4 linked regions of the Styela clava genome follow. The protein of the gene in region 3 purifies or fractionates together with the protein of the main gene of each other region. This does not show direct contact. Links are inferred from orthologs where the notes say so. Each region holds a gene or a part of one and is shown on either strand. Other genes may lie near its edges.

What was found.
Region 1: the proteins of eukaryotic initiation factor 4A-III (region 3) and serine/arginine-rich splicing factor 1B-like fractionate together in Homo sapiens (co-fractionation; 4 studies listed by BioGRID and IntAct, with this or other methods). This does not show direct contact. The link is inferred for Styela clava from reciprocal best matches to the Homo sapiens genes EIF4A3 and SRSF1.
Region 2: the proteins of eukaryotic initiation factor 4A-III (region 3) and nuclear cap-binding protein subunit 2-like purify together in Homo sapiens (co-immunoprecipitation; 3 studies listed by BioGRID and IntAct, with this or other methods). This does not show direct contact. The link is inferred for Styela clava from reciprocal best matches to the Homo sapiens genes EIF4A3 and NCBP2.
Region 4: the proteins of eukaryotic initiation factor 4A-III (region 3) and uncharacterized protein LOC120331224 fractionate together in Homo sapiens (co-fractionation; 3 studies listed by BioGRID and IntAct, with this or other methods). This does not show direct contact. The link is inferred for Styela clava from reciprocal best matches to the Homo sapiens genes EIF4A3 and RNPS1.

What each region holds. Positions count from the first base shown.
Region 1 is NC_135257.1:13,133,120-13,140,232, forward strand, and holds serine/arginine-rich splicing factor 1B-like, read left to right. Parts: upstream 1-4,507; 5' UTR 4,508-4,650; coding exon 4,651-4,808; intron 4,809-5,039; coding exon 5,040-5,248; intron 5,249-5,343; coding exon 5,344-5,516; intron 5,517-5,586; coding exon 5,587-5,838; 3' UTR 5,839-6,608; downstream 6,609-7,113. UniProt on the Homo sapiens protein: Plays a role in preventing exon skipping, ensuring the accuracy of splicing and regulating alternative splicing.
Region 2 is NC_135252.1:23,083,287-23,090,562, forward strand, and holds the start of nuclear cap-binding protein subunit 2-like, read right to left. Parts: upstream 3,019-7,276; 5' UTR 2,889-3,018; coding exon 2,614-2,888; intron 1,766-2,613; coding exon 1,627-1,765; intron 1,194-1,626; coding exon 1,077-1,193; 3' UTR 1-1,076. UniProt on the Homo sapiens protein: Component of the cap-binding complex (CBC), which binds co-transcriptionally to the 5' cap of pre-mRNAs and is involved in various processes such as pre-mRNA splicing, translation regulation, nonsense-mediated mRNA decay, RNA-mediated gene silencing (RNAi) by microRNAs (miRNAs) and mRNA export.
Region 3 is NC_135260.1:7,932,624-7,940,458, reverse strand, and holds the start of eukaryotic initiation factor 4A-III, read right to left. Parts: upstream 3,009-7,835; 5' UTR 2,934-3,008; coding exon 2,768-2,933; intron 2,228-2,767; coding exon 2,155-2,227; intron 2,034-2,154; coding exon 1,904-2,033; intron 718-1,903; coding exon 585-717; intron 444-584; coding exon 310-443; intron 1-309. Other genes in the region: uncharacterized protein LOC120347980, read right to left, coding at 7,168-7,835. UniProt on the Homo sapiens protein: ATP-dependent RNA helicase. Involved in pre-mRNA splicing as component of the spliceosome. Core component of the splicing-dependent multiprotein exon junction complex (EJC) deposited at splice junctions on mRNAs.
Region 4 is NC_135255.1:4,593,724-4,600,908, forward strand, and holds the start of uncharacterized protein LOC120331224, read right to left. Parts: upstream 3,011-7,185; 5' UTR 2,926-3,010; coding exon 2,840-2,925; intron 1-2,839. Other genes in the region: uncharacterized protein LOC120331194, read left to right, coding at 3,504-3,617, 5,640-5,738, 6,078-6,146, 6,562-6,632, 6,817-6,921, 7,113-7,185. UniProt on the Homo sapiens protein: Part of pre- and post-splicing multiprotein mRNP complexes. Auxiliary component of the splicing-dependent multiprotein exon junction complex (EJC) deposited at splice junction on mRNAs.

The sequences.
Region 1 (7,113 bases), on a different chromosome or scaffold from region 3:
GCGGAATTATATCTACTTAAACCCTAACCCCAAATCCATCAAAACTGCATTCATAGGATAGGATAGGATTTACATATTTATCCCGGGGGAGAGGAAAGCCGATAAGACGGCTTATCCATATGGCGAACCACGGCCTCTCGTCCGGTTACCATTCCAAGTCGGGTGTGGGATTAGTTATATATTGTTTGTTTTCGGAAGCATGGACTTGGTGGTAGAGGAAGCCGTGACCGACCAGCGGTTACGTGAACCACCCAACGACGGCGAGGAGTCCAGCAATCCTCTCGCACATAACCATTCCTGCATGGGATTCGAACCTGCGAACCCACGCAGAGTAATTAGAGGTGCGGTGGCGAGCGTATTCCTAACGCTTAGCCCGTTGAGCCACACCGCCGCGCCGGTTCATAAGAAAAACGTTCCAACCTACCCAATATTTGCCACCATAAGGGACAGCCCTGTCTTTACGGCCCACCTGCCGCGGTTACGGCAGCAAAATTTCACCTGCCATTGGTTTTCAATTTGCTGCCGCGGTAACGGAAGCTCGTCATTGGTTTGTGGCAGCTAAAAAGTCAGTCGCCAATCGCCATCATTGAGGTTTATAGGTTTGGTCGTAGCGGCCATGGTATGGAAATACCGCTATGATTTTGCGGCAGCTGCAGACGCCACAGAATACTTAAAATTGCACTTGCCGAAATGGCATCTCCCCGACGATGGCGAACTCGATAACTCCAGAGATCTCTCTCATATCGGGATCGTTGCGGGAAAAGGAGAGAAACAGCTTGCTTTATTTCGGGTGATCCCATTTCCAGAGAGCCTCTGTTTGTTTTAGCTTCGTCCAAATTGACTATAACACTTTTTAGTCACTTTGGCTTCGTCAGTCTGCTAATCAGGTTTTGTTCGTCAATTTGTTTGGAGTTTGTTACCGTTTTATATTTTATCAAGGTAAGTTTAGCATTTTTCTTTTGCTATTCGCCTAGTGGAACAATACTGGTATCATGCGGTTTCATGAAAGTTGCGATCCGTTTGAGTTATGCAACTTTGAAACCTCATATCTCCCGAACCTTATATTATATTGAGACAATCTAGATTCTAGGAGTAGGAGACTAATTATAATCATAAAATGGAGATAAAATGTCGCAATTAACGTACAGAAATCGGAAAATTGAAAAGCGTGAATTTCCTTTTTTCGAAAAGTCTTTGAATTAAATAACAAAAACTTCGATTCGTCCTTGTTTCAAACGGTATCATTAGATTGAATTTATCCTGCATCAGTAAAATTTTATTCAATGTTCTCATAATCTTCACATGTCCGCTGCGCGAACTTCGAACCTATTTGTGCGTCTTTGCAGCACATTGGATCTTCTGAACTAATTATTACAGTATTACTAGACTGTATTAGCGGCGAGCACCTACCGGTAATCCGGTTAAGTCGTACCCTTGCAAATTGAATTTTTTTTTTTGAAAAGTCTTTGAATTAGATAACAAAAACTTCGATTCGTCCTTGTTTCAACTTGGACCTTGTTTCGGATGGTATCATTAAATTGAATTTATCCTGCATATTTCAAACGGGACATAACCCTAAACCTGGACACCATTATATTATAAGGATTTTTCCCAATATCAGTGGATTCCCGAAGTGCGAAATAAAACCTAGTTTTCTTCAATCTAGTCTAGTGCCATATTTATGTACATCTTTTAGATGAGTAAAATAGTTCCCAATAGCAAGGGGAGGAAACCATTTTCATGGCGATGCATAAATTTTGCTATTTCCAGAGTATGCATTTCTGAGAGCTGTAGAATTGTATGCTGACAGTAAATTTGAAGGTTGGTCGCGCGACTATTCTCAGCAAATGATATACACCTTAGTAGTTTGTAGAACTTAGACTGACTGTAATGAAGGGTTAGATGCTGATCACCCAACTAAGAATTCCATATTGCGAGCGGCACGTAGCTAAAAAAAATATTTAATAGAAATGATGGTTTGAACATGTAAAATAGTTTGTAGAGGCCAACTCGCTAAAACACTCCAAAATAAGTATAATTTTGCAATAACGAAGATCCATTTATGGATGGTGTAGGACAGGGTTTTCCCAAAATAGGGTCCGCGGACCACTGGAGGTCATCGACGACTACACAGAGGTCCGCCGCAGTATCAAGTGTCTGAAATATAGGGCGACAGCTGATGCTGATGACCATGTATGGTCATATCGCCCAGTCTATATCGAACAACTTTGTTAATACTGTACTGTACATCAGGGGTGTGCAACCTGCGACCCGCGGGCCAAATGCGGCCCTCAGGGAAATATTGTGCGGATCACGAAATGAATTTTGAATAGACACAAGACGAGTCCACAATCAGTCGGATTCGGCGAATCCGAGTAAAAAAGTAATGGACTCGAGACGAATCTTTTGAGCTCGTTGATTCATAATCAAAATGTGAAAAATACGTTTTTGACTTTATTGAAACAATGCGCGCGTGTACGTCAGCCTTTTTTCACATCATCTTGTCAAATTGAGTCATAGGTAGCTGTAGAACTATTTTAGGAGTATATTTCACTCATTTTTGGCCACAATATAACATTTTAAGCGTCTATTTAATTAACACAGCTGGATTATAATGTCGCGTTTCGTGACCATCTGGAACCAAAAAAGCCGAAATTCGTCAATGCCAATATGAACTAAAATAGCTCCCCGTCCCCGTAAATTTTGCCGTAGGCCGTACAATATGGAGATATAGAAGAAGTTATATTACTGAGTTGCATTTAATTATTTCTCACGTTCAGACACATTCTCACCACGTTTCAATTTTTGTCCCTGATCCACAGTGTTAATTTTTGTTTTCACATATATTTTGAAAGTTTCGATATAAAGTGCTAATTATTATCGTCAAAAACTCATTGAAATTAGTTGAGTAACTTAGTTGTCAACTAATTAAGTCTCATTTTTGGAGACATCGCATCAATTTCCATCACATTATTCTAACCGCTTTAGGTTATATTTTATTTAACGAATGCCGCCCCTCTTTGAAAACAGATATGTATAACATTGAAGTTACTTAAGAATCCTCTATGTTTGTTTTGGAAACTTGTAAAAATATTATTAAGTTTTGCCACTAGTCATCTTCCAGTGTGAATCTTAATCACATCAGTGCATATGGTGGGAGCTGACGATATGGTCGTATCGCTCCCTCCTGTCCATGCCGAAGCAATTTTATTGCTGTTGCTATTTTATTGATGACTGCATTTTTTGGCTGATGAAACAAAAAATCTTTATCTCTCCCAAGTATCGCTTGAGCAGAAGGTAGAGATTTGCCACTTGATTAGATCATACAATGTCATAAAATTTCAGGTACAAATACTACGGGAGTCACTTGGCTAGTCCCGAACTCGTAATATAACTAAAATAAGGAAAATCGGAATAAAATTATGGACTAACCCTAACCTGGTGCTATACTATCCGCCACATCTTGGTTCACATACTTTTGAAGTACCCAATTTTGAACAATTAAAAAGCCTTAATTTTTAAAAAGATAAAAAAAAATAACGATATATGGTTATACATATTGATCTGCTCAACAACGAATCTAATAATTATTATATTTTATTTTTATATCTCTTTTATCATTAACTTTTTTATCACCCATTTCAAAAATTTTGATGATGTCATAATATATTTTATATATCTTTGAAAGCCCGAATATGACTTCATAATGCATCCAACGGTGTTTTATGACGTCATTGTTAAAATTGGGCCTTACAACTGGTATAGCCTTAGAATCCGGCCACCACAGTTCATAGCCATGGGCGTTCTATGAGCCAATCCTTGTTTTCGGAACAATGACTTTACAGCAACAAACCACTTTACAGTAAAAGGTTTACGGCGACCTAATAAATAATATTTAACCAGTCGCTCATATCAAACATGTTATGCAATAACTCTTTTTACGTTCTATTCTCACTCAAGCATATTTTTAACGTCCTAAATATTGACTTGTTTTAGTGTATTTTTGGATTTTTTGCTGGTGTTTTTCTTCTCCCAAAATTCAAATAGGATATTTCATATTTTTCCCCGAGACAAAAGAACCACGAAATGATTTAATATGAAATGACAAATTCGTAAATTATTTGCATGTATGTGTGATTCGATTGCATTTTGAAATACGCCACTCGCCGTGTGCTTGATATGTGGATGGCGAGCAAATTAATCTCCTCATTTTGCTGTATTCATCCGCATATATTTCACTTGCCAGATTTTCTTATGGTATACAACAACAAGTGTGACGATGCTTGACCAAATATTATATTTGATAGTGCCAAAATAGGTAAAAAATACATACATAAGGCACAATCTGTATTAGTTTATTTTTATCCAAACAAAAACGGAATTGCGTTCAAATACGCTGACCAGCAACCGAAAAGTACCACGTTGTAAACTGACAACAGCACACGAAAGGCGGAAATGACGTTTGCCCTGCGGCCATTAAGAAGAACACAAGTTTCTTTCTTTGTGAGGCAGTGGTGCGAAATCACTTTGAGTTTCTGCATCGTCTTCTTGTTCACCTATGTTGTCTTTAAAGTATATCTCCTTTTTTGTAACAAATAATTGGTCTGCAGGTTTATACTTGGAATAAAATTGATTAAACATAAAGAAAATATGAGCCGAGATAGCAGAGTGTATGTAGGAAATCTTCCTCCTGATGTCAGAGAAAAGGATGTTGAAGACCTTTTTCACAAATATGGAGATATAAAATTTGTTGAATTGAAAAACAGGAAAGGGCCACCATTTGCATTTGTCGAATTTAATGATTCCAGGTACGGTACCATATGGCTGTATGTATAGTCTACTACCGTACCAGAATACTGATTTATGAACTTTTTTTTATTATTTTAACTATGCTTTCATACTGCAGTACTGTATTATAATCATGCTGTATTAGCTTTTTGAAGTATTTAATTTTGCAAAATCGGTCAGTTTTACTACTTTGCTAGTATAGTAGTATGCATACAATCAAGTCGATAATATTTCATGAATTTATTTACCAGGGATGCAGAAGATGCAATCAGAGGGAGGAACGGATATGATTATGATGGTTATCGACTTAGAGTTGAATACCCTAGAGGCAGTGGGCCGCCAATGCGTGGTGGCGGTCACTTTATGGGTGGTGGTGGCGGCGGTGGTGGAAGATATGAACCTGGTAGAGGCAGAGGAGGACCTCCATCCAAAAGGACAAACCACAGAGTTATGATCTCAGGTATATATTCGTTGCTTTGTACCTTTTATCACATAAACAAGAAGTTTTTCATTTGTAGAGAATCCAGTCTTATTCAGGTTTATGTTTATATTCAGGTTTGCCGCCTACTGGAAGTTGGCAAGACATAAAAGATCATATGAGAGAAGCTGGTGATGTTTGTTATGCAGATGTATTCAGGGATGGAACTGGAATTGTTGAATTTGTCAACAGAGAAGATGTGAAGTTTGCTGTCAAACATTTGGATGATACCAAATTCAAGTCTCACGAAGTAATTAGATCACAAATATATTTATTAAAGTCTCTCAAGCATATTTTACTAATGGTGTTTTTGTTTTTAGGGAGAAGTTGCATACATCAGGGTCAAAGTTGACTCTTCAGCTGGTGGTGGTGGTGGTTCTAGATCACGCTCAAGATCCCGATCTCGGTCCAACAGTCGAGGTCGTAGAAGCTTTGGAGCTCGTGGGGGTGGTGGTGGAGGAGGACGGTCTTCCCCTTCTTACAGCCCTCGCCGTCGATCTTATTCTCGCTCACCAAAACGACGTCGTTCTGCGTCTTACTCTCCTCGTCGTTCTCGATCAAGATCTCGATGATTTTAAATCAAGTTTTTATTTTTGTATATCAGTACAAACTGCCCAGTTAAAGTTTGATAGCATGTAAAAACATGCTGCGCATTTTATGAAAATGCAAAGCAAATTGTGTATACAAAATAATTCTCGTACCAAGCTGAATAACATTTTTTTGTTAATTTGTCTAGAACTTGGATCATCCATTACTGGAGATCATCTTGTCTAAAGAATATAGGATATCGTGAAATGGAATCACATGTCTTCAATTGGACTAGGATACTGAAATCCCTGGATTTTGGAATTTGAATATGATTGTAGCATTGGGAGGCCCGGAAGGAATTTATTTTATTTGATGTTTGTGGTTCCCTATCCAATCATTCTTATTAATTCTATTTTTGTTTGAAATTGACAGATCTTTGGATCCTTTTTGCGAATGGGGATTTGCCGCTAGTTGGATAGGATACCATTTCTTTGGATGGATTAGGATCCACGTTTGAAATTATGGAATCTGGAGAAAAAGGATTCTTTAAACTGTGCGCATAGGATTTGGATTTCTTAACGTATTAGGAATGAAAACATTTTTCGAAATTTAAGTATTGAAGGCTTCGTTTTGGAAATAGCATCATTGTTTCGGAATTTGGAGCTTCTGTGGAAAATGCTGGAATTTATTATCAGGAGTAGGTATTTGGTCGCTTTGAAACTAGTGCTAATCCCTAAGCGGTAATTTTAAAGTTATGGATTTAAAAAGTAGTGTTTTTATTTGTGAGATTTCTAATAAACCAACTGAGGCTGCAGTTTGAGACTTTTGAATTAGGATTGTTGCTGTGTACCTGGAACAATTGAGCCATGTCTTGAGTCTTAAATCTTGCTATCTTATCTTGAAATGTGGTAGTCTTCCTCTATTTGAACCTTTCTGGCATTTATGTGGAAATCACGATGAGCGCGCTGAGTACTGGGATACAGTCAGTGTTTGTAATATGTTTTTGTATGCGATTTATCGTTCAATCTCGCTCCAAGCAGATTTGTGGTAAGTATACTGAACTGAGTTGTATTTTATGTATAAAACCGGACAAGAAGAGTAGGATTGCAAAGCAGTTGTGGAAATTACTAGAGTTTCCTAACGTACAATCCCTTGGAAAAGTTGAAATTGACTTTTGTTTCTCAAAATTGCCATTACACAATCATAGAAAAAGTGGCTTGTGGTTTTTTTCAGCATAAAATTTCCAAATTCACCTAAGCAAGTTCGAATTTATACAATCTATGGTTTAGTCATAGAAGATCGCAACATAGGTGCAAAAG
Region 2 (7,276 bases), on a different chromosome or scaffold from region 3:
GTGAAATGAATTTGTGCACAATTCAGTTCCGCAATTCCAATTTGAGAAATACACTAATAAAAATGAAAAAGTCGTAATAAAAATTAATTTTTGTGAAAACAACCAATGCAGGAACAGCGATGTCATCAGTTACAAGTGACTAGTCATGACCGACCAGCTATGATGTTCTTTCTGGAGTTAAGGCTCCGTCATGTTGGGTTATTAGAGTAACCTTGAACATGGGCATTTGCTAATTATAAATTTGAATAATATTGCCCAATATCAGATTTCATCAAAGCCCAGTTTACAGCACTACGCTATTTTTTGACTCAAGCTTGTGTCTGGAACAAATTTACAATCAACTCCAAACTGCTTTTGAAAATAATTTTGACTACAACTCCGATCGGGTTAAGTAAAATTACGATTGAGAGAATGAAATTTAGACGTTAGGGAATTCAGACTCCAGAGCGTTTGAAAATACAGCCCGGACTCAATTATCAACATGCTAAACTCTGACCCTGCTTCCAAGCAGGATATTTATTATGTCCAACATGAACGTTATTTGATGAAAACTCCAGGCTGCAAATATTTGTTAGTGTAGAGATGCACTTGCCAGTTTTCTATTAATTAAGGATGTCTAGGTTCTTTTATTCCAGGAATAATTTAGGAGGGCTCCATGTTGAAATTTGTCATCTTTGGCAAATACCATTAGACTGTCAGACAAAAAATGAGGTTAGTTCAATTCAAACTCAGAAGTTGTGAAAAGATTACCATACATTAAAATGTTTGGACCAAATTTTGAAGGTGACAAATTTGAATATATTCCTCCGGTATGCCATATTCAAATAAGTTATTTCAAAATAATAAACAATTTGGTAATGGTCATCCCTGGTCGTACGATAACGATATGGTCGTACAAAGATAACTTGTTTTCAAGATAATTCTATAGTGGCTGCAACCCAACTTACATAAAAATGGCTTTTTGTCCAAATAGGTGGAAATAAAAAGTACAATTTCATGGAGTAACAGCAGTTATCCGACAACTTCGCAGAGTTTTTCTCTTGCCACAGAGGGCACAGACAGCCATGAAAGATTATTTAGTTTTGTTGTTGATTTTTCTGTCCGAACTTGTTAGGATTCTTTGGTTTTAGTTGAGCTCTGACACCAAATCCTCCCCTTCCTGGGTCATAATCTGATCTGTATTCATCACGAACCTGAAGACAAAAACATAAATATGTAATTTTATCATAAAAAGTCTAGTCGTGCACAATTGGAAATGTGCATTTTCCAAAGATATTAAATTTGTGATTGAAAGCTTCAATATTAAATGATCAGGAAATAAACTGCACAGATAGGACACAGATAAAACATTTCAGCATAGATTTTCGATGTCATTACCTACCCAAAAATAAATTAAATCAACTTTTTTAAATTACCAATTGAAAATTTATTTGACACAAGTTTAGACCCACATTTTGACTCATGCTTTTGAGTTTAATTTGAGGAATTTACCTAGCAAGTAGCAAGCATTACCCAAGATGTTGGGAAACATTTTTTCAGAATGAATTTGGAGAAGTGGATTATTAAGTGCTGGTTATCTCTGTCTTTACTCCTCTGTAATATACAAAACAACTGCAAAAAACATACCTGTCCACCAGATTTTCCTCTTCCAAATTGCCTTCCTTCTTTGAATCCAGCATCCCAGTCTGTTCGCACAACTCTGTCATCAAGCCTCGTTCCGTTTATATACCTGATGGCATCAGCAGCGTGATCTCTTGCGTAGTATCTGAAATAAATGTACAGGGTGTCCATAAAGCTTTTTAACAATTTAAAAAAATTATTACATAGTAAAATGATGAGATATCGCAATGAGGGTTGTTTTATGTTAATCAGTATTTCATAAAATTGTTATTGACACATTTAATACACTTATATACGGGCACCATCAGTTATAAAAAGCACATCCAGACGGTACTTAATTTCCTGTCATGTTCGTTGTAGCATAGCCTCATCAATGATTGCAATGGCACTGGAAATTTGGGTCTAGTATAGTTTAGTACTACAAGTACTTCCAATGGACGTAGCATAACGAATTTTGCATATGTTATTCCTCACCCCCACCTGACTATGCCATCCACTACGACGAGGTCACCATCATGTCATAGAGCTTGCCAAAGTATAATTGAGATCGCCCGAAATGGCATCTGCGACGCTGATAACGAACTCGCTAACGCCGGCTATCTCCCTCCTACCTCGATTTCGGGTGATCGTCTGCGCATTTTGGACGACCATCCGCATACTTTGGTGGGCCTTCTTACGCCACTTTGACGTCGAAATGACGTAATGTTTCGGTGACGTAGTCAGGCGGGGGTTAGGATTGACATGTGCAAAAATTGTTGAGCCAGGCCAACTAGAAGTGCATGTGGTACTAAACTATACCAGACCTGTAAATTATATGTTTTAGGTTGGTCATGTCCCGTTTATTTGTTCGATACACAATATACTTTATATAACCCTAAAGAAAGAAGTCCAGAGGGCTCGTATCTTGTTTCCTAGGGCTCCAAGAAAATGACTGTTGAAAATTTGAGAAAACGATGTGTAATTGACTATACCCCACAAAAAAACTTTACTTACTCAACAAAGCAAAAGCCGCATGGCGTTTTCTTATATTTATCTAAACCCATAACAACTCGTTTAATATCTCCGCATTTTCCAAAGAGTTCATATATCTGTTCTTCTGTTGTATAATATGATAAATTCCCAACATAAAGCGTTGTAGTCAGGTTCAAAAGCTTGTCTTGTTGGTCACGACTCCCCTTGAAATGCTGATCGCGGTACGGCGTTAGTTCTACGTAAGGATCCTTGGCTACAGGCCTTAAAATAGTCTTTTCCGTTATATCCACATCCATTTTAATAAGTGTTACTCCTCCAATAGTGAGAATGAACAATATTTTAAAAATATTCGAGAAAACGCGTTTACAGTTTCACAACCCTGCAGCTACACCTCTGTGAAGTTAGCAGAAAATGTTGGGCCTACTCTAACCTTTGACCCAAGATCTTCGTAATTATTCGGGCATGCTTTGGGCTTGAAGTGAAAGTGAAATAATTCGGCCCGCGACGCTCCACTGAAGTATAGATACAAAACGGCTGCTTTGACGATTATATTTTTTAGGTAACAGAGTTTATTGTGAGTCACGTGTAGACTAAATTATAATATGACCTAACACGCAAAAAGTATTCAAATGGACTTTTTGAGGTGCAACGCATTGGGGAAATAAATCTATATTCTATTCGAGAGGTGTATCACTGGTTGATTTTTATAAAAAAGTATTTTCTTTGAGGAAAACTCTATCCAAAATTAACAACAAAATTAACCATGCGAAAAAATTCACATTGATGTTTTTGGAAGTAGGCTACATATGCATGCGAACAATTATTTTCGAAAATGAACATAACAAAAAACAAGAGAGCTATGCTCAAATATATGGACACGTAGACTCACATAATTTTGATGACGTCATAGCGAAAAAAAAGTAATAGCCTTTATCTTGAACCAATGAAAATTTCAAAGCAATTGGTCCAGTATTCGAAGAGAAAAGCGACTTCTTCAAAACGTGTTGATGGAGACAAATAATAACAATAACAACAAAATTTTGAAACGATCGTTATGTCCACTACGTGTCCAACAAGCAGAAAACTCGGATGAGTGATTCCCATTTATATAAAATGTTTTAATCTTGGTTTCATCCAGTGTCCGATTTGAAAATGTTTCCCAATTAGTGTGATGTCGAAAACGTATCAAGCGTGATGCATTAAAAAGTGTCACGTTAAATGTCAATAGTAAATTTTTTTCTGAAAGTAAAATGACGAAGTTTAGTTCATGAGTTGTCTCGGTTTTTGCGTGCTGCTTAAAATTTAAAATTTTCACTTCTGTCTGTGTGAAAATTGTGATTTATCGGCCATTCGTTCGGTTTTTATTTTTCTAAAAAAATATGCGGCCATAATTTTGGTCCGCGAGCTACAAAAGGTTGCCGAGCCACGGCCTAGCCTAGACCCTAGGACAGGGATTCCGGACGTGGTTCAGATGGACCCCCAGGTGACTAGTCCAAAATTGTACAGGGTAATAATATTGAGTGCATCAAAATTAAATAGTTCTATCAAGACAGCAAGTGATTTTAACTTGGATATTTCCAAGAAACACTCGGGGGAAAAGGCCCACTTTGAATAAAAATTAGGGGTCCACCATTAAAAAGGCTTGGCGAGCCCTGCTTCGGGAGGATAAAAAGTCGATAGACTGCTTGGTAATACAGCTAACTAGAGCCCTTCGTTCGGTTATCAGTCCGCATAGGTTATCCCATAACCATTATTGGAATTATTACCCACGGCGGTGTGGCGCGTCGTGTTGAGCTGAAGCGCTCGCTACCGCACCTCTGATTAACTTGCGTGCATTTGCAGGTTCGAATCCCGAGGGGATTATTATGTGCGAGAGGATTGCTGGACTCCTCTATGATTATGAATGAAAGTGTGACGAACCGGTAACTCGCGTGGTTACCAGTCTATATCGGGTATGCAATAATGAAAAGCGTACATGAAGACGAGAAAATAAAATTCACGGGCAAAGCCCACTTGTAAAATTGTAAATAATTTTGATGAGCGAAAGTGGTAAAGAATATAAAAACAATTAGAAGTTATACAAAGGTGCCTGCGCCCGAATGCGAATCCTAATAATGAGTGATTAGCTTCAATTTTTTTGGTAAATAGACAAAGCTAAAAAGTAAACAACAAACATAAAACTAGTAGCGTTGCCCTTTGCTGTGTAACAAAATTGGTTCGAATTTAAAAAGTTTACATTTGAGAATTTGTAATGTTGATCATTTGCCAATGAAGGTCATTCATAAAATTAACTTAAATCTGGCAACAACTACCGATCCAAAAACTTCAATATGCATGCAGACATCTCGGCTTCTTTACACCAAAGCTACTCAACTATTTTCACCGAAGATTCGTATAAAATCTTCGAAATTATTGGGGTCCCGTATTTCCAAAAATAGATTTCACAGTGCGCCTAAATATATTTCAGTGCCTACAACTTTTAGGTTTAAGCGTAAACTGAAAAACGGTTTGGTGCAAATAAAAACATAACTCTCAGTACAGTACAGAAAAGAGAATTTAATAGAAGGAAACCTACGCATATCCTAACTCAACTCTTATCCTCCATGGTAGAGTAGGCCTACTGCTTCTTTTTGGTTTTCGTGTCTATTTATTTGAGCATCGCTCTCATGCTTGTAATGTAATCAAAATTGAGAACTGTAAGATGATATTTATGACCTCATTATTAATGCTATACTTGTCACCGTTGACTTTGCTTGCTTACGCTCTCTCTTGCTCGTACTGCATGCTGCTAAGTATTGCAATCTATGATGTCTATGTTATATCCATAAATATACTCAAACATCCTGAACAGTTGTGTGTTTACCCACAAACAAACAAGAACGACGTAGCATAAATTGAATCGTTTCGTCAGCCTGATTCTGATTTTTTTGACATACTTATAGACTTTTCGTTTGATTCATGAAGAGAATCTATTGGCCACGTTTTTAAAAACAATCAGTTTCGTTGGAAATTCATCAGGGCAAAGCCCACAAGACACGGATTCGTGAAAAAAAAACATTGGCCCGACAATTGCTGAATCCGCACAAGTACAAGGCGAGCTTGCCCTTAACACAGTGCCCATCAGTTCTCCCTTTCCATTTAGATGACGCTGCTCGATAACCATGACTGGTTTATCGTCTCCCTTCACGCTGAAATACATTATTTATATTTTATCCTACTGTTTGTAAACTTCCGTATTCTTAGTATGTGCAAAAATAAACTACTGACAGACATCTAAAGATAACATTCACATGACCTTGACAACATAAAGCTTCTCTGAATTATTGCCGACTCATTTTTTTCTTATATTAAAATTGCCTCATAATTTCGGGTAGTATACTCTTACCGTAGCCTATCATAAATGCTTAAAAAAAATTAACGTTGTGAATGAGAAGCCTCGGTGACCTTCATTTGTTTACAAACTGATCCCAACAAAAATGATATGATCCGAATTGCGGATTTTATATTCAATATTGTATATATATTTACTTGTTAATGGTGAAAAATCTCTTCTTCTTTCCTAGACACTAACAATCCCATTACATATAATTATTGCTCATTAGTTCATTGAATCGAAACTCAAAAGATTAATCAGTTTAGGCCCAGGGATTCTCAAACTACAGAGCCTTTGTAGAGGTTGACTATTATTCACAGCCCCACAAACATTTTTAAAAACCAATAAAAAAAAACACAGTGTTACTTACCGATTAATATTCCTGAGTAAGTTAAAATTACTTTACTTAATTTGAATGTTGAATCTTTTTTAATAGGGTTAATACAAGCCATGAATAAATCTGAATTTCCCAGATAAATTATATATATTATGACTGTATTAGGGCTTTATCACTTGACAAACATATCAATAAATTCGGGGTCGAACTCCTTCCCTTTTGATATTTTTGGTAGACTGAAACCGTTGCTAATAACGTGTGCGATTGTATATTTTGAAATCGCCGATTGTTTTTTAGACCGTGGTTTACGTCAGTGGTTCCCAACCTTTCTACCCTGGTGGACCAGTAAAATTAAAATAAAAGTACTCGCGGACCGGCAAAAAATTGAAATGACCGAAACAGAAAAGAATAACATTTATTTGCGTAGTACAGCGGTGTTTATTCTCCCCAAATCACAAAAGTTCCTTGGCATATGCAGGTATTGTTCCACAAGGACGACGATAAAAACTTTTTTGTTCTCGTACGGAATTGTAAGTTCAGTGTGAAAAACAAATTTCTTGATTGAAAAGCGGCATTATAAAATATTAAAATTTAACATAAAACGGAAGATAAGACCATAAGTTTTGTTTTAGCAGACCCACGACAGATTAAAAACGTGTAAATCACAAAATTTGGCGTTATGTCAGGTTTTCTTCGGAAATTATACGGTAGTCGCTGAAATCAAAACACGGTCAATTATGCGCGCGATGTAACTTTTACCCATTCTGAAAACACCGCAGGAACCGCATGCGACTTTTTCTCGTTATGTGGCGATGATAATTATTGTGAAGTATATCAATCAATTTTTTTGCAGTTAAAAAATTTCAATCGTTCGTATTTTGTCCGGAAATTTCAAACGTTAAAAAGAATCAGGGACAGACCTGCGATAGAGCGGAGTAAGTGTTGCAAGAGCGGCCCAAATTTGTCGAATTCGA
Region 3 (7,835 bases):
TAGCAAATGGACATAGTAACTGTGACATCACAGACAATTTCCAGGAATGCCAGTATTCAGAGAAGAGTTAAGTACCTTTTTCAATGCAATGCAAAAAATTCAGAATGCGACTTCTGCAAGAAAAGTCGCCCCTCACCTGATCTAGATAAATAATTTGGGTAACTAGGTCTATCGATCAGAAAAAACAGAAATATTTTATATGTTATACATAACTAAATATCAACACCTTAGTTCTTGCGTAAGACTCGACAATCAAGAAATGTTCTATTATTTATTGGAAGCAAATTTTCAATCGAGTAAACAATTAACCTGTATGGCTGGTGGAAGATATCTGTAAACATCATAAATCTGTTCTTTAAATCCTTTGTTTAACATTTCATCTGATTCATCAAGAATTAGAAGTTTGATGGCACGAGTACGAAGATTTCTTCTTCTTATCATGTCTAAATAAAAAATGTTTTGTGCTGAATAATTGCAATAATAAGTTTCATTATACAATATCACTGCTACAATAACAACAACAACAACTTATCTAAACAATCCAAAGGTTCACTTCGTGTTCAAGATTAATATAAACTTCTAACCAAAAACTCTTCCAGGTGTTCCAGATACTATGTGTTGACCATAATCAAGTTTTCTGATGTCCTCTCCAACGTTGGTTCCACCAATACAAGAGTGACATTGAACGGACATGTAATCGCCGAGTGCAAGAATAACCTAGAAATAAAACTTGTCTTGATTATAAACAAATCATTGAACGATTAAATTAATAAGATTATGGTAAATGAAATCTTTTTGAATAACAAACATGCTTATTTAAATTTTTAGACTTTATTAGGTATTATTTAACTCTTGGACCAAACACAAACAAACAAAAAAATTAAATTTACTTTAAAATCTCTTATTCAATGTTTGGATGCTTTTTCGTTATTTAATAATAGCAATAAGGTCATAGCAAACTAGATTAATTTTTTTTCTACTCAGTGAAAATATAATTAACACAGTTAAGGCTTCTTCTATAGGTTGTATAGGTACAGCAACGTGCGCTCACAAACATACGCAGTAACTCGTATTTTTTGCCTAATAGTTCTGCAGATAGCTGTTGAATCATTTTAGAAATATATTTTCCCTCTTTTTTAGCGGCCACAATACAAACGTGAACGTGGGTCAATATGCGCCTTGGTTATGAACCGGATTTCCAGCCCATCACCATCCGTTAATTCTGGGCGGCTATTTAGCAATTCTTACATGTCATGTCAATATGAAAAATAAAAAGCTTTTGACTGCAATGCTTCCCCATAATTCCAGATACTTCTAGCTGTACACTTACTATGTCGCAAGCGCAAATGGTGGAGAGATGCCACTCGTCAATACAATGAGGTACATCTGCTTGCAATTTAGTAGTACATATAAAAGTTCTAAAATTCTACATGCTTTCATTTATTCCTTTTTAGGGAAAAGATTGCCTGTAATAAACTCGATTTAAAAGAGATATTGATGAAATCACTTGGGGATCCCTTGGGTTGATCCAGAGTATGTTTCATTTTTAGGCGAATCAAAAACTCAAAAATATTGCGCTCACACATATTTTAATGTACACATGTATACCAAAAAGGATAGATAGTTTGAAGGTGACTGGCGCGACATCATACGAGGAAGATTGTTGCAGATCTAACAACGAATTTTAACCAGTTAGGGTATGTACTGTGATTTATAGAGGTAAAAATACAAGCATAGGTGCAAATTATTATAAACAGAATTGGTTATAGACTCGGTAAAAATGACGTGGACTCGAAATCCAAAGTCCAAAAAATGCGTGGATTCGACTCTAACCCGAGCCCAGATCGAAATCTTGGCCCATCTCTAATGAAAAGTTGTCATATTCTACTTTGTTTACACTCACCTTTTGTATTTGTTGAGCGAGCTCTCTAGTTGGAGCAAGAATAAGAGCTTGCGTTTCTCTAATTGAAGTATCGATCATTTGGAGACATGAGATTGAAAATGTTGCTGTTTTACCAGTTCCAGACTGAGATCTAAAAATTTTATTTCAGTATTTTCAGTTTAAGTCATCACTTTAGTACAACATTTATAGGCAATAGGTAATAACCTATATTCAATATTGTTACACAAAAAAGACAACAAAATAAAACTTACTGAGCGATCACATCCCGGCCTTTCATAATTTGCTTGATAGCTCTCTGTTGAATGGCTGATGGTTTCTCAAAACCTGAAAAAGTCGTCTGATTAGTGAGTAGCAGATTTTACAAATCAAAATAATAGATAGCTTTCGAATCACTACTCAACCATTGCTGATTCTACAGGGGATCATGAAGGAGCTAACTATATCAAAATCAAATTCCAGAAACCCATGTAAGAATGAACACAAAAATTAAAAAGAGAAATTTGTTATAAATAATCAAATGAATATAATCTTTAGGCAGATCTATAAATGCATGGGATAAAAGAAAACTAGTTTACACTTCATGTTGTATTTCAAGGCTAATATGTTACCATTACACTGTTTGCACCAGGTGAACCAGATTCCAAAAATCCAAGTTTTGGAGAACTTGTATAAAGTCCTACTCCTTCCCACCAAGTGTTCAAAAATTTGTATACAGATAGTAATGTTGTTAAGTTTTAATTAACCAATGTGAGTTGGAAGAACCTGCATTTTGATTAATACCAATCAATCTTAACAGAATTGCTTTGTATTTAAATGTTCATTCAAAATCCCAAAACTCAAGTTTCAAATGATTACCCCACATACCATAAGCATAAATTCCTCTCAGAAGATCATCCCGTAATCCCATTGAGTCGAATGTTGGAGTGACATCAACTTCTTCGGATGTTTCGAATTCAACCTTACTCAAATCATTATCACCTCGACCTCCAACACGACGTTGGACAGATCTTTCTTGATTTCGACCTGCCATCTCAGAATGCTCCAAACTACTCAACTATAGGTTAATTTGATTTTATCTGAGAACTGATATATGGTTGTAGCTTATAGTGTAATATTTAGGATGGGATTTACACATTTATCCCGGGGGAAGGCAATAAGGAGGCTTAACCATAAGGCGAACCACGGTCTCTCGTCCGGTTAGTAGGTATTTCATGTCGGGTATGGGATTAGTTTGTTATGTACCTGATGATGGAGGAAGCCGTTAACTCTGTAATTGGTAACCGTCCAGCGGTTACGTGAACCACCCTACAGCGGCGAGTAGTTCAGCATTCCTCTCGCACATACCTTCCCCACATGGGATTCGAACCCACATAGAGTAATCAGAAGTGCAGTTGCGAGCGTATTCCTAACGCTTAGCAGAATCTGACAATGAGCGGCAGTCTGCGCTGTTTTCCTACTCTGTAACTTCTCTATGGTTGTGTGTGTGTGTAACTTATTAATTTCAGGTGATGAACACATAACACTTCTTCTTGGTAAAACATTCCATCTTATATTCTGTACTGCTGTACGTTTCAAACCTTGTCTAAGGTTGCCTTTGCTCTCCTGATTTCATAATCAGTTTTTATTTATTTGTTTTTATCAATCATTTTATTGCCTGTTACGCCTGTACGCTGATTACCCATACCGTATAGCTGTATGGAGTGGAAATGAACTTATAAGGTACGGTACTTATATACAAATCAGCATGAGGCCAGGATGTTAAATTGGGATAAATTCTATACCGATAAGTTAGTCTTAAACAATACTGCAATAACAGCAACAACGTAGTAATACTGTAATAGTTTCAGAAATAATGTTACCGGCAATACAGTAATATTTAGGCCTATAGTAGTAGTAGTAGTGGGAGGCGAACAACTCGACTACTCGGACAACGCACCAGAGACAACTCGACGACCTAGAGGCCTGGTGAGTTGTCAGTCTTTTGGCATTTGGAAAAGTTTTTAATATATTTAAAGATGCTCATTCAAAACATTTAATACCAATAAAGTTCAAAAAATTAAACGAACACAGTCCTATAAGTCAACAGTCTAACTTCGCTAACCTCCAATTTCGCCTGTAGACTGTATTTGTATTCATACAACATGATCAAAATAAGCCACTCATACAAATAAAAATGCTTTCTAGAGCATATTTATGTATTTTTCTCAACATTTGAGCACTAAAAATATCAAAAACGCATTTCTATAGACCTAAAACACCACCGTAGAAAATGCCAAAAGACGACAACTCACCAGGCCTCTAGGTCGTCGAGTTGTCTCTGGTGAGTTGTCCGTGTAGTCGAGTTGTCCATCAGCCGTAGTAGTCTAGTAGTAGTATTTTATTTCGTCAACATGTCAAACAGTTTACATGCAACATTTCAAAATTAAATTCAAGGCATTGTGACGATGATAGCAATCTCGTAATACATTAATAGGCATTTTTATGCTGATGCTACAATGCAGAAACAGACTAGAGACTACTAAATGCCGGTACTGGAATACTCTACCACAGTACCACAATAAACTGATAAAGCTGCTAAAAGAACATCAGTTTCAGTGTATGAGGCAAGTTCAGGCAAAATCAGAGGGCAAACATCAGTCCAGCAGTCACAATACTGCAATAAGTTCTAAGTTTGGAATATAACATGCCGACATATTGACATAAACCAACATGCCAGTCCGATAGTACTATCAGAATATTGCGCTTGGGATTAATATAAACCTTGAAATTATTCCCGTATGGTCAGACGGTACCGTACCGGTACCGGTACAAGGTACCGTACGGTAGCCTCTCATCAAGATAATTACCATACCTGAAGCTGGGGAACCAGCAACATTGCCTATTCACTCACAACCTCATCGTGCACAACCTAAACTTCTGAGTTCTGGCTCACGGCCCCAGGATTTGCTCTTGAATTCGAAATACATGAAACAATAAGAGACAAACAAATGGCACTGGAAGAGGTTCACCTGAAAAATGGCTATCATGCAGCTCTCGGGCGCCGCATATCGAATAAAAGAATAATGAACTTAAATCGTTTCAATCAACAAAAAATTATCAAATCAAAAAATAAAATCTAGTTAAGTCAAAAATTGCGTCAAAACCAACATCACACATATCTCGTTTTCCCATCGCGGAAAATTCATTCAAATCATAATGGCTTTGCGCCCCAACACGGTTTGGTCTGCAGCAACCGAAAACATCTGCCGCAGCAGGCCCCCTAGATTTCGAATTTAGTGTATTTTCAATGGGTAGATCCACCAGATGGATTCCTAGTCTCTTTGTGCCAATATTATTACGGTATGTGTTTTACCGTTGAAACCTTCACCAGCAAACAGGCAACATGTTGCTATACATTTCTTAGTAATATTGGCATTGGACAGGCTTGATGTCAACAGCCAGAATGCATTTGTATTGGGATTTACACCGTGTTGGAAAATTTGTTTGATACTTTTACCATGTTCTGTTTTTCCTTTTTATTGGTTCAAAAGGTAATTGTGAACACCTAACATATTGCCTCTTATGCTGTTAATTTGCTGCAAGTCACTGAATGATATAAATGTTGGACATTTGGTCCAAACAGTTGAAAGTCTGCCTTTCAGAGTAGACGTAGAAAATACTTCTGCCCTTGTACCAATGGTGTAACAGCCGTTCTTTGTGACCTGGACGACACCGACTGCACACTAGATATTTATTAACAGTTCAATAACGCGGTCTTTCAAGCCCCAAGTTTGTATCCTCAATCCAGAAAATCACACAACTCGAAGTATACAGTTGACACGGTTAATCTTAATACAAACGTAAAAACAAATCAATACAAAATACTTGCAATAAATAAATAATCATACACAATTCGGCCTTTAGAAAGCCTACTCAAATTTATGCACACAATTATCAAACATCGTTTATTAAGTCGAACCAAATTACTATTGAATAACTTGCAGCCTTCAAATCAGAAAGAGTAACAAATTATAACATACCGAATTTGTCTGCTATTCCAGGCTTAAATTATCATAAGTTGAACATGAAATCATTCGTCAATGAAATCCGAACAAATTAATTAAATAAACTATAACTGTAAAATCAATCACAAAAGGCCATTTAATGCTCATAAAATATCCCTAAATTAGGCCTAGGTGGGCAGCCATAATCTACATTATTCAATCGTCCTACAGTCAAAACAGAAAGCCAAGGTCGCTGAACAAGTTTAACTTATTTACAAATTACAACGAAACGAGCGCCATTCTCTGCAAAAGTAAAGCGCTATCTAAAGCAAATTACCGACACTATCCCTGTCTAAGCGAGACATGTCTGGGCAAGCAATTGCCACGAAGACTCTCTCAATTGTTTCGTAACAAAGTGTGTGGAAGCACACTGTCAATCAAGGGAAATTACGGCGTCAACAATAACAAATAAATTACTACACAAGTTAAACGGACGCAATGTTTAAGTCAATACAAAAATCAAGTGAATGCGATTCTCGATGTAACATTCCCCCAGCCAGATGTTGGAACCCAGTGAAAACATCTTACTCACAAATTTCTTACATCGAGGATATCACACACTTGAAAAAATTTTACTCATTAACTCTATGAATCAAGCACAGCTTTGCAATTGGCCTTCTCAATAAACCCCTGGATGTCTTCACAGTAACTTGACGCACAGCTCCAAGTTTATCAGGTGTAGTTTCCATAACACGTCCAGTCTGCCACTTCCCCCTGGGTATAGTATTGTCTACAAGTAGCACAATATCACCAACTTCCATATTACGTTCTTTAGAGGTCCATTTCTGTCGTGTCTGAAGTGTGGGTAAGTATTCTTTGGTCCATCTGATCCAAAACTGATCAGCTAAATACTGAATTTGTCGCCATCTTCGTCGAGTGTAACAGTCCTTTTTTGTCAAATATGCCAGGAGGTAAATTACTTGTAGGATTCAGTAACAGCAAGTGATTTGGAGTGAGTGGCTCATCATCTTTCGGATCGAAACTTATTGGAGTGATGGGTCTGGAATTCAACTGTGATTCCACTTCACAAAAAATAGTAGCCAAAGCTTCATCTGACACCAACTGATCGTGTAAGAGAGCAACCAAAATCTTTCGAACTGATCGAATTAATCTTTCGTAACATCCTCCAAAATTAGAAGCAGTAGGTGGATTGAATTGAAATTTAATATTCTCCTGACGCAAAAATTGTCCAACTTTGCTTGAATTCCAAATTTCTATCTCCTAACGTAGGATTTTATTTGCTGCAACGAAGTTACTACCGTTGTCACAGATGAACTTGAATGGTCTACTTCTACGTGCAATAAATCTTCTTAACGCATTTATGAATGAATCTGCATCCATCGAGTATGCAACTTCCAAGTGTACGGCACGAGTTGTCATGCATGTAAATATACAGCCCCACCTCTTGACAGTATTTCGTCCTTGCTTCACAAGCAAATGTCCAAAGTAGTCCACTCCAACATACGAAAATGGTCTTTCAACTGGTGTGACTCTTTCTTTCGGAAGATCTGCCATAATCTGTTTACTCACAGGTGAACTTCTTCTTCGACAAAACATGCATTTTCCGATAACAGATTTCACCATAGCGCCTCCTTTAACAATCCAAAATCGTTGTCTCAGAGAAGCCCATGTACTCCCCATACCAGAATGATGTGTAGATACATGATGTTCTCTTATAATCATCTCAGTTACATGATGTTTATGTGGGAGTATAATCGGATGTTTAACATCAAAATCAACCGGTGCATTTCTCAATCTCCCACCAACTTTGATGAAGCCATCTTTCATAATCGGATTGAGTTTATGCAGGAAATTTGCAATCTTCAATCTCTTAAGTACTTGTTTTCCAGATGTACTTCTGTGATTGGCTTTCTGCAGGGCATCAATAA
Region 4 (7,185 bases), on a different chromosome or scaffold from region 3:
CTTTTTAAGTTTGAATAATATACCTGCTGTTCTAGCAAGCTTGCCAGCAATGTAGTTAATATGAGCTGCCCATTTTAACTGGTTATTAATGTGTATACCCAAGTATTTGTATGAGTTCACATTCTCAAGTAATATACCATTAATAGTAATTTTAATCAAATGCACACTTCTTTCATTTTTTTGGGGATTAATTAGAAGTGATTTGGATTTTTCAATATTTATAGTTAGTTTGTTACTAGTCATCCACGTTGCAATTTTTTGCATTTCAGAGTTCATGTGTATTTGCAAGTCATTTGGCGAGACTGAACTTCCAAATAACCCGGTATCGTCAGCGAAGAGTTTGACCAATAATCTGGTGGCATGAGGAAGATCGTTGACGAATAATACGAACATTAATGGGCCAATTATTGTGCCCTGGGGAATTCCGCATTGTACAGTTGCAAGTTCGGAGCAATTTGATCCTATTTTGACATATTGTTGACGTGAATATAAATAGCTCTGGAAGAATTTTGATGCATGACCGCGAATGCCATAGTGGCTCAGCTTTCTAACTAATATGTGATGGTCGACAGTGTCGAATGCCTTTTTTAGGTCGAGAAATATTGCACTGATATATTCCCTTTTCTCTAATTTATCATAAAAGTAAGTTACCACATCTAGTATTGCATGATTAGTAGAGTGCTTCTTTTGGAAACCAAACTGTGACTTATTAATAATGCTATTTCGATCTATAAATTGTGTTAGTCTGGTATGCAAAAGTTTTTCGAATTCGAATGTTATGGTCATAGTCGAAAGAACTGAAATGGGGCGATAGTTGGTTGCACATTCTTTGTCTCCAGCTTTGAACACTGGTGTGACTTTAGCAATTTTCAAACAATTGGGAAAAATACCATGGTCTAGGGAGGCATTAAACAACTTACACAGCATGGGAGACACTATATCAGCGGCGTATTTTAAAAATTTGGCAGGTATATTGTCATACCCCACTGCTTTGCCATCAGGAAGACTTGCTATGGTGGTAAATACTTCATTGATTGTCGTTGGTCTAAGAAACAAGGAATCTTTCACTGGATTCTTGAGATTATTCAAAAAAGAATCATTAGAATGGGGAATATTTTCAGACAGTTTCGGGCCTATGGTGGTGAAATAATTGTTAAGGTAATTGGCAATACAAATTGGATCACATACAGAGTGCGGTCGTCTGAGTGTTTCGGTTAGATTGGTGGGTTTTGAATGTCTGTGTGAATGCCTCTGGTCTTCAGGGATGTTTGTCTGTGTTGTGTGACTGTCGGATGTTTTGTGCTGGACAGTGGGCTGACGTAGGGACCATGTTATTGTTTTTACCAGTACAGTGCCATTACAGTTCATTTACCGTAGTGTTGTATTTTCAGTTTTATCGTGGAATTAGCTTTCATCAGTATTGTTCAAATGTTGTGCACCTATAGAATTGTTCATAGTCTTTTTAAATGCCTGTCATAAGTTACTTTCGGCCTGTTTTGCAAATTGCAGTAGCTAGTTTATTGTACCAGATTCTAGGGGTCATTTGGTTTTTATTCAGAGTTGTCTTGGATTTCAGGTTTTGTCAGTGCTTTTGTTGTGTATGTGGTCTTTCTTGCATTTTACTGCCTGGTACCGGTATCTGTTATTTTTATTTTATGCTTTTCGTTCCTTTGGGAGTGTTTGGTTGTTTTGGATCGTTTACTGTTCGAGTTGTTAATAAATGACATAAAATAGCATAAAGACTTGGACTATTGAGAGAAAACTTGACGTCAGATCATATTAGAAGATATTCTGAACCTGGATAATTATTTCATACATTGCCGGTACGCTACAAAAACAAAATAAATAAAACTGATTATAGAATCGGGAGAGCAAACAAAACCTAAAGTACAGAAATAATGTTTGAAACGTACAGATGGAAAGGTCTTGTTAAAAGAAGTACTACGTGTTCGCTCACCCAAAAGTATTGAAACTAATTCTGTAATTAGAGCATGCACACACACAAACCAGACAAACACACAATCACGGAGACATGATGAGATCAGAAGTAAAAAAAAGCCGAAACATAAAATCAATTACCGGTACTTGAAAAAGTGAAAATATAGAAACAAATAAAATAAAGTTTTGCCACCCCATATTAATAGTTTTACGAGGATTGCCAAATTGGATAATGGTAACGTACCGTATAGGTATATACTGTGTATGGAATCTCAATTATTTCTTGGACATTTTTCACAAACTTGATATCATTTCCCTATTTTGACTTTTATTCAAATCTTGGGTCTAGTATAGTTTAGTACCACAAGTACTTCCAGTTGGTGTATCAAAACGAATTTTGCATATGTTAATCCTAACCCTCACCTTACTATGCCATTCAAAAAATATGTCGATACGACGTCACAAACACGTCATAGGGCTATAGTAGAATTACGATCGCCTGAAATGGCATCTGCGCCGCCGATAACGAACTCGCTTACGCCGGCGAGACTAATAAACATACCAGTACATACATACATCGTGATCGTTATGACGTGAAAACGAAAGAAATAGCTTACTCGATTTCGGGTCATCATCTGCGCGTTTTGGACGACCATCCGCATACTGTACTTTGGTGGGCCTTATTACGCCAATGTGACGTCAAAATGACGTAATTTTTCGGTGACGTAGTCAGGTGGGGTTTAGGATTGGCATATGCAAAAATTGTTGAGCCAGGCCAACTAGAAGTGCATGTGGTACCAAACTATACCAGACCCCAAATCTTGCAGACTGGATGCAGATTTTTTGTAACATACCGGTACCGGTACCGTACCGTAGTCTGATAATAGTCTACCGCACTAACCTGGAAGATGATCTAGCCTTTTTTCGTCCTCCGTCGGTAGTGTCATTCGTTGCTTTTTCACGCCCTCGAGCTGGACTTGGTGCCATTATGCTATCAAAGTGTTTACAAACAAATATGCAAAACGTGCTCGCGCCGAATACTTGCTTCTGTGCTTCGTAAAGTGGTAAAGCTACAAGCTTGTAGCAATGCGACCTTTGTGTGCGGCGAAGCAGAAAGTTCAATCATCTTTGCACGAATTTAGGCTAATTTCATGGCAAGAGGAAAAAATAATTGATTCAATATTATCAAACAAAAAGCTAAATAAGTTAAATTACATCAAAACAGCAGATGACCACATTATAAAAGGAATGCCCTTTTACAACAATATAGAAGAGATGAATTGAACTTAAAATCTGAAAAGCCTGTCTTTTCCCCGAGAAAGACAATATTTCATTGTTTTCGCATACCAATGGAGTGTGTTACCTGAAGTTTTTCACTCAACTCAAACCTAAACCTTATAAAGCCTTTTGACATTCAGGATATGATTGATAAATATGTCACTGCTGATTGGCATAAACATCCCGTGTCCTATTGTGACGTAATAAGTATACGATTTTGGGGTAATTGTAACTTTTTGCTTAAGTCGACATTTTATTCGGTATTTTTGGCAGCATGCTTGCTTAATATGCCACTAAAACGAAACAAAGTGGGTATCGTTACCCAAGACAACGACGAAGGACACAGGGTGTCATGCGGGAGAAAGAGGCGAGGGCGAAGATTTAGAAAATCTTCCGCTGAAGTAAGTTAACTTATTTTTCGATCTAACTAAATGAATGTAGTCAAATAAGTTGGTAAGAAGTGATGAACTTGAAATTATATTCTGGCTCAAAGTAATGCCAAGTGTACATATGCCGCATTTGTGAAGCAGAGTTCGAGTGCAACACCAATAGGGGTGGGTTGGCACACCTACACCAATCACGAGAGATCTTTCCAAGATAGCGAGCAGTAGTCTGAATATTTATCAAATGCTCACGAGTCAAATCAGACCGGGAAACACTGATAAAGATAGTAATAAAGATACCCTAGATACGCCACTGTCTGATATGGCTATGTGTTAGGACGGATCAATGAGCATATATACAATGAGTGGAAACTTGCAAAGATTTGCTCATTATGGCATTGTTCCCTGCATGTTTTACGTCGTCCAGCTAAATGGTTCGTTGCATATGGAGAAAACTCATTGCTCGCTGCCAAAATCCCTCTCTCCAGTAAGCATAGGCTCATAGTTGTATGCTTTCAGCGTACCATACTTCGAAACCCAAAATCAAATATGTATTGAAGAATTAAAGACCTCAAGTCAAGGTAATACGGCCAAATTCGCACCCGACTCGGCTGAAGCAAGGAATTTTGGCAGCGAGCAACGCGTTTTCTTAATATGCAACGAACCATTTAGCTGGACGACGTAAAAATGCAGGGAACAATGCCATAATGAGCAAATCTTTGCAAGTTTCCACTCATTGTATATATGCTCATTGGACGGATTAGCAAGCAAATTTATATTTCAACTTTAAAACAGAATCAAGGCGGCCTATATAACAATCAAATGAATTGCTTACCATGTCTTAGTTGAGTTTTCCCAATAAAAATATTATTTACTATACAAAATTTGTGAAATTCAACAAAAAGAAATGGCTACAGATTCTTACAATTTTTGCTCTCCATGATCTTTCAAAAATTCTCAAAACTTTTCAAAGTTTGAACCCATCACGACGGATTAGAAATCCGCTGCTTTCTCTTCCTCGCGTGTGCAGATTTTGCTCTTTGAGTGTGGACTGAGCCTTAAACACGCTCGTTCATCAGCAATGGCGGTAATGAAAATCCAATGATATTAACATCGAAATAAACATAAAATTTTCGTGAACATCAGAATGTCTTCAAACTTATCGAACACTAACAAACCAGTAAGTTATATGTGAGCCGAACGCGAACGCTGGTGGCTCGGCATGATGAAGCAAAGTGTAGAAGCTGAAAAGAAGCGTAAGAACCCAGAGTTTGAACAACTTCAGTGAACAGATCACTTGACTGTGTCAACATCACTTTCATAATATTTATATATATCTTCTATCCGGAAAATCGCTGAAGTAAAGGTTTTATCAGTACTATAATCCTTTTTCAGAGTAGAATGCGTATAAAACGCATAAAAGAATTAGGCTCTAATGCCTCCGTGAATATTCGTCAATTAAAAGATCAATCTGATATTCCACAATTTTTTAATTGGCCGTTGTTCTCCATGGCCATACCAGCGATTTTCCTATACCTCCTGTAGAGGGTGAACAGTTTCACTGAAATTTCAAACACTGAAATTTTGCAGTCGTTACGCAAGGGATATCGTCCATCCCAATCGCATTTTCATTCTTTTATGTGCTACTATGAGTCTCAATCGAGAAGTATGTATCAAATACGCGTACTTGGAGTAGGACAGAATCACTGCTTCTATTTGGGCTTCTAGTAAATCCCATCCCGAATAGGAGCGACTACTAACTCGACTGGTAATACATATTTTGACTAGGTAATAACAGAAGTTAAGAGTAGGCTATGATAATTGTGTCGTTTCCGGGAGAAATTACGACTCTCGACTTCTGGTTTGATGTCACTACTCCACCCAATGACGGGAAACTTAACGGCCCCACGAAGTTTAAAATTCGGAGTTTTAAATCTAGTTCCCAGGCCCGTTTTACATATTCAATGATATCAAGAAAGCATTCTTGAATATTAACGTTCTCGCAACACATTATTCAATTTTGTTAAATTAATTTCTTAGAAACAAGATGAAGCTTCATCTTATTTGACTGCGGTGCATTGTATATATGCATTTGCTTCATGGTTCGGCAGAGGAATGGTGAAGGCTAACAAAGTCTTGGTGAGTCCGGAAGATATGTAATCAAAAGTATATATATATATATATATATATATATGTATGATTTATATATATATAAATGATTGTATAATCCAAATACTATCGGATATTTTTCTGATGTAAAAGCATGCAACATGATACTTTATATCAGTCACTTTTACCAACAGAACCGTGGTCACGATGAATTTGTAAGTAATAGAATACATATAATTGGAATGTATGTATAGGCCTATGATGTGTTCATGTATATGCTTGTGGGTGAATCCTTGATTTCGTATTACAATACCTATATATGACAAAGTACTCTCAGTTCAATTCATTCATGTTAAATACTTCTATCAGACATTCTCTCAATGCCGTAAATTGTCGACCGTGGACATCGTGGACGAGGATGCTCACAGGGCCGACAAGGTATTATGGTATATATATCGTCTTTTATTGGTTAGAATAACGCTCTGCGATATATGGAATCTGGTTTATTTTACGAAACACTTCAGAGTTAATTTTTCAAATCACTACATCGATATGCATTCTGAAAACCATCACCCCCTCTTCAAGCGACAGTGTTATGATGAATCAACATGGTCGTAATACCACAAATAAAATAACAATTTTTATGGCGTGGTGCATATCGCTTCCGAGTTCAAGCTTTCTATTCAAGTCCCAAGGTCTGATATGTTTATTCAACCACTATTCGTTAGACTGTTAATAATCAGTTTCAGTCTGAAATAGTCAACGTGCGATGCTATCGTGGTTTTGCTGGCATCCATCAATTCCAAATGCATGAATCCACGAATGAATGTTGTTTAATAATTAATGTACACAGATTCCAAATACTAAAAAGACTCAGAACGATACCGGGATTCAAGAAAATGGAAAGAATCATACCGGAATCGGGTAAACAATCGGCCCTAACAATCACTGACCTCTTTCAGAGAGAGAGCCTTGTTTTTCTATGATACATACAGTTTAGATAAAATGCAGCCTAACAGTTCAATTAGATTGCGATCTGTGCAAAAATATAAATATATTATTTCAGAAATTAAAATAATTTTTTTTTATATGAATGATTTTTGTGCAGAACATCTACGTCCGGGGACGAGCAGGTCCGTGAGAAATTTTCAGAAGAGGACAATGCTCTTTTCCCACCACCTGTAATACCCGATGTTGCATTGCCAACCTCGAGGTTAGAGTTTCGCCAAAATTAGCTAAACAGGCCATGATAGATTAGCAGATATCACAACTTTTTATCAATGGCCGAGAAAGAGTTATTGAGTTCGAGAGTGATTTTTGATATTTATTAATTACAAAATGGCATTTTGCTCATAATTAAAAAATAATTTTCTATAAACTATCAGGCTATTAATATTATTCCAGAAATACCAGTAGTGACGACGTCGGAAAACTCTCTACAACGAATGTTGGAGAATTGGCGTCTGCATTATCGACT